2 linked regions of the Canis lupus familiaris genome follow. The protein of the gene in region 1 interacts with the protein of each later gene in a pairwise test. Links are inferred from orthologs where the notes say so. Each region holds a gene or a part of one and is shown on either strand. Other genes may lie near its edges.

The links.
Region 2: the proteins of SMURF1 (region 1) and WFS1 interact in binary tests that used the Homo sapiens proteins (3 or more experiments, as listed by UniProt). The link is inferred for Canis lupus familiaris from reciprocal best matches to the Homo sapiens genes SMURF1 and WFS1.

What each region holds. Positions count from the first base shown.
Region 1 is NC_049227.1:10,556,032-10,562,208, reverse strand, and holds part of SMURF1 (E3 ubiquitin-protein ligase SMURF1), read right to left. Parts: intron 5,587-6,177; coding exon 5,440-5,586; intron 4,165-5,439; coding exon 3,966-4,164; intron 2,194-3,965; coding exon 2,090-2,193; intron 1-2,089. UniProt on the Homo sapiens protein: E3 ubiquitin-protein ligase that acts as a negative regulator of BMP signaling pathway. Mediates ubiquitination and degradation of SMAD1 and SMAD5, 2 receptor-regulated SMADs specific for the BMP pathway.
Region 2 is NC_049234.1:39,216,080-39,221,127, reverse strand, and holds the end of WFS1 (wolframin), read left to right. Parts: intron 1-1,021; coding exon 1,022-2,830; 3' UTR 2,831-3,337; downstream 3,338-5,048. UniProt on the Homo sapiens protein: Participates in the regulation of cellular Ca(2+) homeostasis, at least partly, by modulating the filling state of the endoplasmic reticulum Ca(2+) store.

The DNA.
Region 1 (6,177 bases):
TCTTTTAAGAAGGGAGTTGTAGCACACGTGTGTGGGGGCAAAACCAACCCAAGAGAAAAGGAGAGAGGAACTTTTTGAGGAAATGAGACAGATGTGAAAGAACAGTAGGAGCACAAGGTTCTGGCACGTACTGTGCAAGGCGCAGGGTTGCCCTTCTGCAGGAACACACCTGGGCCACATAGGGCCATTCAGGGAATACAGGGCCCCACACAGGGCCAGATGCTAGCAGCCTAGGTATCTGGTGGTGGTAAGGAAATACTCTTTACTTCTGTGTCCTCAGAGCAAGAGGAACCAAAGTCTGCAGCTGGGAGTGAAGGTGGGTGGGAGCGAGGGAGAGGTCTGAGGAAGAGCGTAGTGGGGATGCAAGAGAAGCAGAGAGAAACATGGCAGGGAAGCATCTTCCTCCAGCCACCCTCTGCTGCTCAGGAGAGGCTCAGTGGCCCCAGGACGGACCTTTCGGAGCTGAGGTTCTACTGGCCAAGCACAGCCAATGGAAAGAGAAGTGAAGGAGTGGCTGTGGTGGTGGATGGCATGTAAGGAGGAAGGATGGGAAGGGGGTGTAAAAGAGAAAAAAGGTAGTAGATCCTGGATGACAGGTGGTCCTGGGTGGAGCTAAATAACTTCTGGTGAAGGAAGGCCTAAAATCAGACTGTCCTCAGACCACAGCTCAGGAACACCCGGTGCTGGAAGACAGGACAGCAGTGCCTTCAAAGCTCTGAAGCAAAGTTATTTTCTTCCTAGAAGTCTATAAAAAAATCAATCTATCAGTCAAAATGACAATTAACAGATATTTTCCGTAAAACCTTGGAAGATTTGCCTCCCACAGGTCTTTTCTAAGAAAGCTACTTAAGAATAGACTCTGGTAACATGAGAGAGAAAACCAAGGAAGAGAAAGCTGTGAGATCCAAAAAGCAAAGCTCTAGCCCAGAAAAAGCAGCGAAGCCCCAAGACGACAACTGTGCAGAAGGCCTAGAGAGCCAGGGCTGGATGGTCTCCATGACAGAGACACAGAAAGGAAGGGAGGTGTGGGGGATAGCAAAAGATGAAGCTTAATGGGGCCGTAAAGACAAAGCCTGCTTTTTTAGAAAAGAAGACAAACATGAATAAATCCTTGGAGAAATTAAAATTTGTTCAAAAGGCTAAAATAAATTATGAAATACCACCTAAGCCCTCAGTGAACAATATTTACGTAGTCATAACAGTACAAACAATGTACTGATTTTCAACTCTTAAAAATAATAGGCCAACATGCACAGGATACAGAACAGTCTAGAAACCTTACACCTCTACACTGTGAAAGTATGATGGATGCCAGAACATAGGAGGTAAAGGGGGAAGGACTTCTGAAGGGGAAGTCAGGAGTATTTATATCCCTTTTGCTTATGAAAATGAGGTCAAGAGATATCGTTTCCAGTTGACAAACCAAAAATAATGATGAAAACACATCATGTAAAGTTACAAAGACAATGAAAGAAGATCTACAAATTGTGACAGCACCAAATTAGGAATGGAAAGTATTAAATTAGATCTCACCACAAGCATTATCATCTATCTGTGTCTATGACCATATACATAGTCAATGCATAATGTCTGAACTTGGTCAATTTAGTGATACAATATTACCTATTAGAAGAAATAGTTAAAAGAGCAAAAAAGGCAGTTGTCTCAAAGGTGTAATGAGGTAGGATGGGAAATAGCAGCTTTTCATTTTTCTATTTTTAAGATCATGTGCAGGAATTCTTTTGACCAACATAGCATTTTGCAAAATTCCTTTGAAACAAGTGCCCCAAAAGTCCTCTCCTGAGAAGAGCAAGGCTGCCTCCCACCCAGACTAATTTCAGGAGCAGGTCCCTCGTGTTTCAGGTGTGGAGCTGTCAGATAGAGTGGAGGGGCGGGGGTGGGGGTTTGAAAAATTTAAACCTCTCTTTCCAAGAAATAAAGTGTGGCTCTGCCACACCCTCATTGCCAGAAGCGCTGAAGGCCACGTGGGAGTCCTGATCACCCCAGGACAAGCGCCTCCCCGAAAACCTCCCATCCGGGCAGTGCAGCGCCCCATGGAGCAGAAAGTGGGATTGACCCAGCCCCTCACCTTGCCACTCCGCCATAATCCAAACCTTCTTCTCCCCGGAACTTCACCATCAGCCGCTTCTTCAAATCCTTAGGCCGCATCTTCATGATCTGGCGGTAAGATTCCTGCTCGGCAAAATGACAGCGTCAGAGAGAGGAACAGGTGGCATTAAGTTACAGTTACAAAAAGGTGAAAGGTTGTCAGATGAAGCCTGAATTAGGATGCATATTCATTTAAATCCGAGTTCACTCTGGTTCCCTATCAGAGCGTTGATTTGGTGTCTAGTGTCCCATGTAGCTTATGCAGTGGCTCCTGTCACCAGATCTCCCCGGGTCTCCCTCAGAAACAAGGCAGCTGGTGCCAGGCAACACCACACCGAAAGGACACTCACAGACTCATTCTCAGCATAATCACTAAAGGCTTCAGAGCACACATCCTCCCTAGAGCCCATGTTCTCCACACAAATTAATTTTAATGTGGCCATACTAAGAACAGCTTCTTTATTTTAACCAACATGAAGATGTCACTAGAGAATCTGAATAGTAAAAACATTCTAAGCCTGTTTTTATATCTGAGGTGAAGAACCACATGATTTCCACAGAGTCAAAAAAGCAAAAGAAGGGTTTTAGTAAGACATACAGTAGCTTACCCAAAACACAGAGAACAGGTGGCCAGCCCAGCCTGCCCCCAGATTCAGCATTTTGAGTGGAACTAGCTGAATGTTTGTAGACATTTTCAATGATAAGGCACTTGAGAATCTTTTCATGCTTTAAATTTAATGTAATTCAAGCTCTGGCATCCCAAGAGGGAAAGAGGATGCTGAGTAGAATGATCTGGCAGCAACATGTCAATAATTCAGCTCTTTTCTCTCCCCAGCAACCAGTTAAGACTGCTCAACGGCCATTTTGGCCGATTCCTCCATTCGCCCAACACTGGAACACAGGCTAACCCTGGGCATTTCCTCAGTACCCATCACCATGAAGGCCGTACTGGGCTCCCCAAGCCACAGTCCTCACCCTTGTGCCCCTCCTCCTGCTGCTGCAGCCCAGTAGGATCTGCGTTCAGGCCCTATCCAGTCTCCTTTGATCACTTCTGCCAATGATGCCACAAAGGCAGGCCAGATATGGCCCAGATGAAGGTAGAATCGTGGAGATTCTACCTTCCGATCATCTTCCTGGAGTAAAGGGCCCCGTCTACAAGAGGGTCCCGCCTGGTTGGTGGCCTTGATCCCTCCGAGGAGCTGTATGAAGGACAGAACCCTTCCCAGGACCCAGCTGATCTTCCTTATTTCCTGAAAACACAATGTAGTGGCCATTTGGTCCCTAAGCTGCTCTGAGGAGGCCATGCCAATGGATGAAGCTCTGTGCAAGGGCAATAGAAGGAATGACTGGTTCTGAAGAAACCAGGCAGATTTTGGGAATGTGTATCTGCACAGAGCAGGTAAGAGGATTTCCAGGATTTTTTTTAATACTTTATTTATTCATGAGAGACACACAGAGAGAGAGGCAGAAACACAGGCAGAGGGAGAGCAGGCTCCACACAGGGAGCCCGACATGGGACTCGATCCCCAGACTCCGGGGATCACAATGCCCTGAGCTGAAGGCAGACACTCAACCAATGAGCCACCCAGGTGTCCCAACAGGATTATTTAGTACTAGTTTCGGTGTAAATCTTTTTATTTTCACTTTAGAGGCTCTTGAGCTTTTCAGCTTTTCAACTTCCACCACAAGAGGAAATACGGTCTGTTTCTCTGTGTGACCACTGGTCCTGAAAAAGCCCTGGAATTCACTGAGTAATAAAATCAAGGCCTGAAACACCCAATAGAAAGGAGAATGCACTGTTTGTAAACAGGGATGAAGAATCTGTGCCTCACTGCTGGTCACACCAAATTCCATACCTCAAATATTTCTTCTCTGGATACTTCGATACGGCAATGGCCGGCTTGGGGCTGCTGAAGTGAAAGCTCATGTCTGAGCACCTTCAGCTTCTGCACTAAATCTCGTTCATATCTCTGGGCAGGCAGCTCCTCATCTTCCACGGAGCCCTCGCTGGGCAAAGGCAGTGGCTGGCTGGGCTCCTTTAGTTGGCACTGGTGACTGGAAAGAACAGAAGCATCTAGGTCACTCCAAAGCAGCAGCCAAGGGAGCTGCAAGCAGCGCCCCCCACACTGAGTGACTGAACTGCGAGAAGAAATGTTCTCTCTGCTGATATAACCATACATGAAGATGTGTAAACACTGACAGTGGCCACCACTGGCCTACATAGAGAGGTCTAGATACGGCCTAAATAAAGAAGATACCCCAATTCCACGCAACTGCTCATCCCATACATTTTCAGTGCTATAAAGAAAAGCATAAATTGCAATCATTTATCACGCATCTGGTATGTATCTGTGAGACTGACCAACGTGTAGTTGGTGAGATGTGCCTTGGTGGCTAGGATTACATGGAGCTGACGTGAGAAATTTCATAAGCAGATTATCATAAAGGGGCAAACAATGCCAGTGCAATATAATGGAAACCATTCCTCATTTTCACGACCCAGGCATTTCTAAGCTCACTCAGAAAATTCTGGTAGAATCAAGGACTAGGGATAGTAGAGGGATGAAGTGGCATTTGTCTTGTTCAGGTTCTGCCACCAAGGTCAGCTGTCAATGAAAAGGGCTAATGTGGGCTCTTAGGTTCTAGAGAACACAACAAACCCAGAACACTGAACATGGGATCCCAGATAACTTTCAGTTCCAAGTTGTCCCAGAATGATGGGCATAGGACAAGGTTCCAGGGAGGAGCATTATGGACTGTAGCAGCCCTTCCAGGTGGTGACGAGCAGGCACTAAGGAAAAGCCTAATTTCACTGCCCCTCGCTCTAAGGGCCACCAACTCCCTCAGAGAACTGCATGACGGAAGCTTCAAGAATGGAGCTGTACTGTCTAATACTGCCCTCTCAGTGAATTTTATTTAGGCTGCAAGCAATAAAAGGTGGCCAACAATACAGCTTCAGAACTACTCATGGCTTTTTTTATTTTTTAAAAAATTTATTTACTTATTTGAGAGTGAGAGAGAGAAAGCATGAGCAGGGGGAGGGGAGAGGGAGAAGCAGAACCCCTGCTGAGCAGGGAGCCTGATTCCAGAACCCTGGGATCATGACACGAGCCAAAGGCAGAGCCACCTGAGCCAACTGAGCCAACCAGGCACCCACAGAACTGCTCACAGTTTACTGAGAGTTTGAAATGCATATCTGCCCACCAAATATTTATATTTTACTTATTCTCCACTAACAAACCATGCAGTAGGTACATTAAGAGAAATATTAGTAGAAAACATGAAATTATAAATGTAAAAGATCAACAAAGATTTTGTAAAAAGTCTTACTTCATGATGTGATGTAATCTTGGGTCTGTAAACTGGGTTGTCCGGTTATTATGATCTACAAAATATATTCTCCCCGAAACTGTACTTCTGACTTCCCAACCTGGTGGCAGTGGTCCAAGTTCATCACAATTCACACTGTTAAGGTCTCTACCAAAATGGAAGAAAACAGAGAGGTTTGTCCATCTGAGAGTGGAGGTATACGACCAAAACTTCAGTGAGAGGAACCTGGTCAATGCGGCTGTGTTCTGCTAAGAACAACAGTCATGGTGCTACTTACATGCCAAAGTCCTACTGAGTCCAGGCCTCCATGCTGCAAGTGGCAGCAACACCCGAGAGATAAAAATGAGGCTTTCAGAGCCTACAACCATGAGGGAACCTGGTCCCCATCTTCCCCCAGGTCCCACCTAGGGAAGAGCATTTCTTACACGAAAGAGGGCCAAGTAGCTGGAAATAGCTGATTGCTGTCAGAAAACTATTTGAATTTACAAGCTAAATTAAATGCTCAAGGTCACAAAGGTATCTTCACTGAAAAGCTCCCAGAAGCACAAGTTTAAAGTTCCAGGGGACTTATGAAATGCCTTCGAAATCTCCCATTTCTGAGCAGATGCAGCGGAAAGCGGCATTCTCATGCTTTACTGGGCTTTGTTACACAAATGTTTCTGATTCTGACCTCTCGGTTAGTGAGGTCAGTCCAGTCCAGTCACATGGGAGCAGATCATCACTGACCAAGTCACTTGT
Region 2 (5,048 bases), on another chromosome or scaffold:
GGTTCCTCCCAGGTGTCGTCTTCTCAGGCTGACATGTGACACCCCGTGCTGGTACAGTCACGTGGTCGTGCCCACCCAGGACGCCCCCAGGTTCTCCAGGCTGTGGCAGAAGTCGTCACGCCCCTGAGGGGGCTCCAGGCACCATCCAGGCTCCCCTGCCCCCCCGTGGGTGGTGCTGTGCCCTTGGGGACCCGCTGCCGCCCCTGCAGACCCCATGGAGGGCCAGCACCTGCGCCCCTGCCTCGCTTCCCCGAGCCCAGCAGGGCCACACCCCTCAGAGTTGTGCACGGCGCTGGAGCCCGGCCCGGGTGTCGGAACCGCCCTGCCCCCTGCCCTGGGCGGCCCCCCTCGCCGCCCCCCATCCCCCTTCGTTCTGTGCTGCGCAGAGGTCTGAGGGTCGCCCCTGCCCTTTGCACCGGGTGCAGGTTGTGGCAGTGGCCGTCGGGGCTGAGCGTGGGGCAGCACGGCTGCGTGCAGGTGGCGGCCAGTCTGCGGGTCCTCAGGGTCCCGGTCACTAGCCCGCTAGCCCACTAGCCCACTAGCCTGCGTGGCTCCCTTGCCCTCAGGGATGAACCCCGTCCCCCACAGGTCACGCTGGCTGAGCCCTCCTCCTGGCTCCCCACACCCGCTGCCTGCCCGGGGACGGTGCAGAGCCCTCCGCGGGCTCCCCTGCCCTTAGCCGACACAGGGGCAGGGGGCCAGGGGCCGAGGCTCGGGGCACCCTGGTTGCGGGGGGCCCACCCTGACGTGCCTGCGGGTGCTGAGGTCTCCAGGGGACGCTGGCTTGCAGGAGTCTGCACACCCGGCAGGTTGGGACGGGAGGGGGGCCAAGGATGGGCAGCAGAACCTGCAGCTCCGGTGCAGCTGGGGGACGGGCCAAGTGGACCGGAACGCGGGGACCCGCTGGGACCAGGGGACCAGGGGCCCAGGGGTAGTGGGCTCCCGCGGTTGGCAGAGCGCCGAGGGCGACGGGGCTCGGGTCGGCGTGCATCACAGCTGGTGTCCGTGTCCACACCTGCAGATGGTCAAGTACCCGTTGCACGCTGTCATGGAGATCAAGGAGTACCTGATCGATGTGGCCTCGCGGGCGGGCATGCACTGGCTGTCCAGCATCGTGCCCACCCAGCACATCAACGCCCTCATCTTCTTCTTCATCATCAGCAACCTGACCATCGACTTCTTCGCCTTCTTCATCCCGCTGGTCGTCTTCTACCTGTCGTTCGTCTCCATGGTGATCTGCACCCTCAAGGTGTTCCAGGACAGCAGGGCGTGGGAGAGCTTCCGCACCCTCACGGGCCTGCTCCTGCGCTTCGAGCCCAACCTGGACGTGGAGCAGGCCGAGGTCAACTTCGGCTGGAACCACCTGGAGCCCTACGTGCACTTCCTGCTGTCTGTCTTCTTCGTCATCTTCTCCTTCCCCATCGCCAGCAAGGACTGCATCCCCTGCTCTGAGCTGGCCGTCGTGTCCATCTTCTTCACCGCCACCAGCTACGTGAGCCTGAGCTCGTCTGCCGAGCCCTACACCCGGAGGGCCCTGGTGACCGAGGTGGCCGCCGGCCTACTGTCCCTCCTGCCCACCCTGCCCTGCGGCTGGCAGCACCTGAAGCTCCTGGGCCAGACCTTCGTCACCGTGCCCCTGGGCCACTTGGTCGTCCTGAACGTCAGCGTCCCCTGCCTGCTGTACGTGTACCTCCTGTACCTCTTCTTCCGCATGGCGCAGCTGCGGGGCTTCAAGGGCACCTACTGCTACCTGGTGCCCTACCTGGTCTGCTTTATGTGGTGTGAGCTGTCCGTGGTCATCCTGCTCGAGTCCACCGGCCTGGGGCTTGCCCGAGCCACCGTGGGCTACTTCCTCTTCCTGTTCGCGCTCCCCGTCCTGGTGGCCGGCCTGGCGCTCATGGGCGTGCTGCAGCTTGCCCGCTGGTTCCTGTCGCTGGAGCTCACCAAGGTGGCCGTCACTGCGCTGCTGTGCAGCGTCCCCCTGCTGTTCCGCTGGTGGAGCAAGGCCAGCTTCTCGCCGGTGGCCATGGTCAAGTCCCTGACGCGGAGCTCCGTCGTCAAGCTCATCCTGGTGTGGATCACGGCCATCGTGCTCTTCTGCTGGCTGTATGTGTACCGCTCGGAGGGCATGAAGGTCTACAACTCCACGCTCACCTGGCAGCAGTACGGCTTCCTGTGCGGGCCCCGGGCCTGGAAGGAGACCAACATGGCCCGCACCCAGATCCTGTGCAGCCACCTGGAAGGCCACAGGGTCACATGGACGGGCCGCTTCAAGTACGTGCGGGTGACGGAGATCGACAACAGCGCCGAGGCGGCCATCAACATGCTCCCGCTCTTCGTGGGCGACTGGATGCGCTGCCTGTACGGCGAGGCCTACCCGTCCTGCAGCCCCGGCAATGCCTCCACGGCCGCGGAGGAGCTATGCCGCCTGAAGCTCCTGGCCAAGCACCCCTGCCACATCCGCAAGTTCGACCGCTACAAGTTCGAGATCACGGTGGGCATGCCCTACAGTGGCGCCAACGGCTCCCGCGGCCCAGAGGAGGACGACGTCACCAAGGACATCGTGCTGCGGGCCAGCGGCGAGTTCAAGGACGTGCTTCTCGGCCTGCGCCACGGCAGCCTCATCGAGTTCAGCACCGTCCTCGAGGGCCGCCTGGGCAGCAAGTGGCCCGTCTTCGAGCTCAAGGCCATCCGCTGCCTCAACTGCATGGCACAGCTGTCCCCCGCCCGGCGCCACGTGAAGATAGAGCACGACTGGCGCAGCACCGTGCACGGCGCCGTCAAGTTCGCCTTTGACTTCTTCTTCTTCCCGTTCCTGTCGGCCGTGTGAGCCCGTCCCCGCCCGCCTCCCCCGGGCCGCCCAGCTGAGCGTGCGCCTGTGCCCACCGGCCTGCGGACACCTCTGGTCGCCGCCCGTCCCGGGCACCAGCACCACAGGAACTGCCTGCAGCGTTGGGAGTCGACGTGGCCGAGAGCTGGCGGGGAGAGCACCTTCCAGGGGAGGCCCCGCCCACCTGCCCCTTCACTGTCCTGCACCGCTGGCGTCTCTTATTTATTGGGTCACTGCTAAGCTTCGACAGCTGTCTGCCGGAGCGGGGCTGGGGCAGGCAGGGGGCGGGGAGGGGAGGGGCGGCTCTGGGCGCTTGGGGCTCGAGGGTCAGCGTGCAGACGAGGGGCCGATGCACCCAGGATGGGGACTTGGACATGGGAGGCACCCGCGCCGTCCCCTCCTGCGCCGTCCCCGCCCGGCGCTCAGAAGAGTGTGGCCCTGCTCCATGCCGGACACAGAACGTCAAGGTCCAGATGCAGCTGAAATAAAAACACTTCACGAAACCTACTGCTGGTCTTTTCTTTATTTAAAAACACGGTTTTCCTGTACATTGCGGAGAGCAGGTGGCTCGGCCACGCTGATCTCACTGCCACAGTCGCCAGGAGCGGGGCTGACGCTCCCGGTGGCGGGCGACCCCCACCCAGCCCCGGCCAGGGTGCAGCCGGAGGCCCCGCTGCGCTTGGGGCCTGTGGGGTGGGGGGCACGCATGGTCCCGGGGACCCGAGGGGCTCGGCCCTCCTGAGACGGCGCTCGCCTGTGCCCCACGGTCAGGAGCAGACACGCGCTGGCGACACGTCGGTGAGGCCGTGGCCTGTGCTCGCTGCCGCACCGCGATAGAGCCACCTAGGGCGTCGGAGCACGAGGCCGTGCCCCTCGGGTGGGTGCCGTGTCCACGTCCTTCCTGTTTCTTCCCTGACGCGGAGGTCAGGGACCCTGGGGCCTCCCCGCTGTCTGCGCTCGCCTCCGGGCGGCTGCCTCCGGGCTCTGTGGACCCGGCCCATGTGGACGCGGTGCCAGCAGCTGTGCCCCTGCACTAGCTCCGCGTCCCCCAGCGCCTGCTCCCGGGCTCCTCGCCTGCGCAGCCAGACGTGGAAGGTCACACCACCCCCCCCCCCGCCCTGTCCCGGAGCCACAGACTCACGAGGCTGTCTAACACGTCTGCGGTTGGCCTGCCTGGCCCCCCAGGGACCGTCGGGGGGGTGGAGGGGCTCGGCGACCTCATCTGATCCTTGCACTCCATCGGTTGAGAGGGGTCGAGGGACGCCCCCAACGCACAGACACGGCGGGTGCAGAGTGGGGTCATAGGGCACACCAGCAGCGGGGCCGGGGTCACAGAGTCTGTCCCCTGGGCTGCCCCCGGCCCCCAGCGGAGCTGCCTCTTGTGTGCTCTCAGGGCCCAGGCGGGAGGGTTGGACCCCAGCTTCACCACCTCTGTCAAAGCCCCGCAAGACCTGCAGCTGATGGGTCCCGACCCCATACCGTCTCGTCTTTGTCCCGTCCTGTCCCCATCCCCATCCCGTCCCCGTCCTGTCCCCATCCCCATCCCTGTCCCCGTCCTGTCCCCGTCCCCATCCCGTCCCCATCCCCATCCCCATCCCATCTTTGTCCTGTCCCATCCCCATCCCCATCCCTGTTCCCATCCCGTCCCGTCCCCATCCCCATCCCGTCCCCATCCCGTCCCCATCCCATCCCAGACCCATCCCCGACCCATCCCGGACTGCAGAGTGGGCCGTCTGGGCAGGGCCCGGTGCCCAGAACTTACAGGGGACCCTTTGCCTGCTGCACGTGCCACGAAGCCGCAATGCACAGAGCGATGGGTGTTGGCGTCAACTCAGGTGGGTCCCCACGACCTGCTGCGAGCCCCAGCCTGCGCCTGCCCCTGCACACCGGGCTCCGGCAGGCCCAAGCGTCCCCCGCCTCTCCCTCGAGGCCTCACCACGCGACCTGTGGGGTCCCCTCCAGCTTTTTAAGAAAGTGACCCTGGGGCACCAGGGCGGCTCAGTCGGTGAGGCATCCAGGTGTCCCCTGGGGTCCTGGGATCCAGGCCTGAGGTGGGCTCCGCACTCAGCGCTCCCCTCCCTCCCCCCTCCCCCTCCCTCCCCCCTCCCTCTCTCCCCCTTCCAACCCGTCTCCCCCTCTCTCCCTCCTCCTCCCTCACTCCCTCTTCCTCTCCCTCTCTCCCCTTTCCTCCCCATCTCCCCTCCCTCCCCCTCTCCCT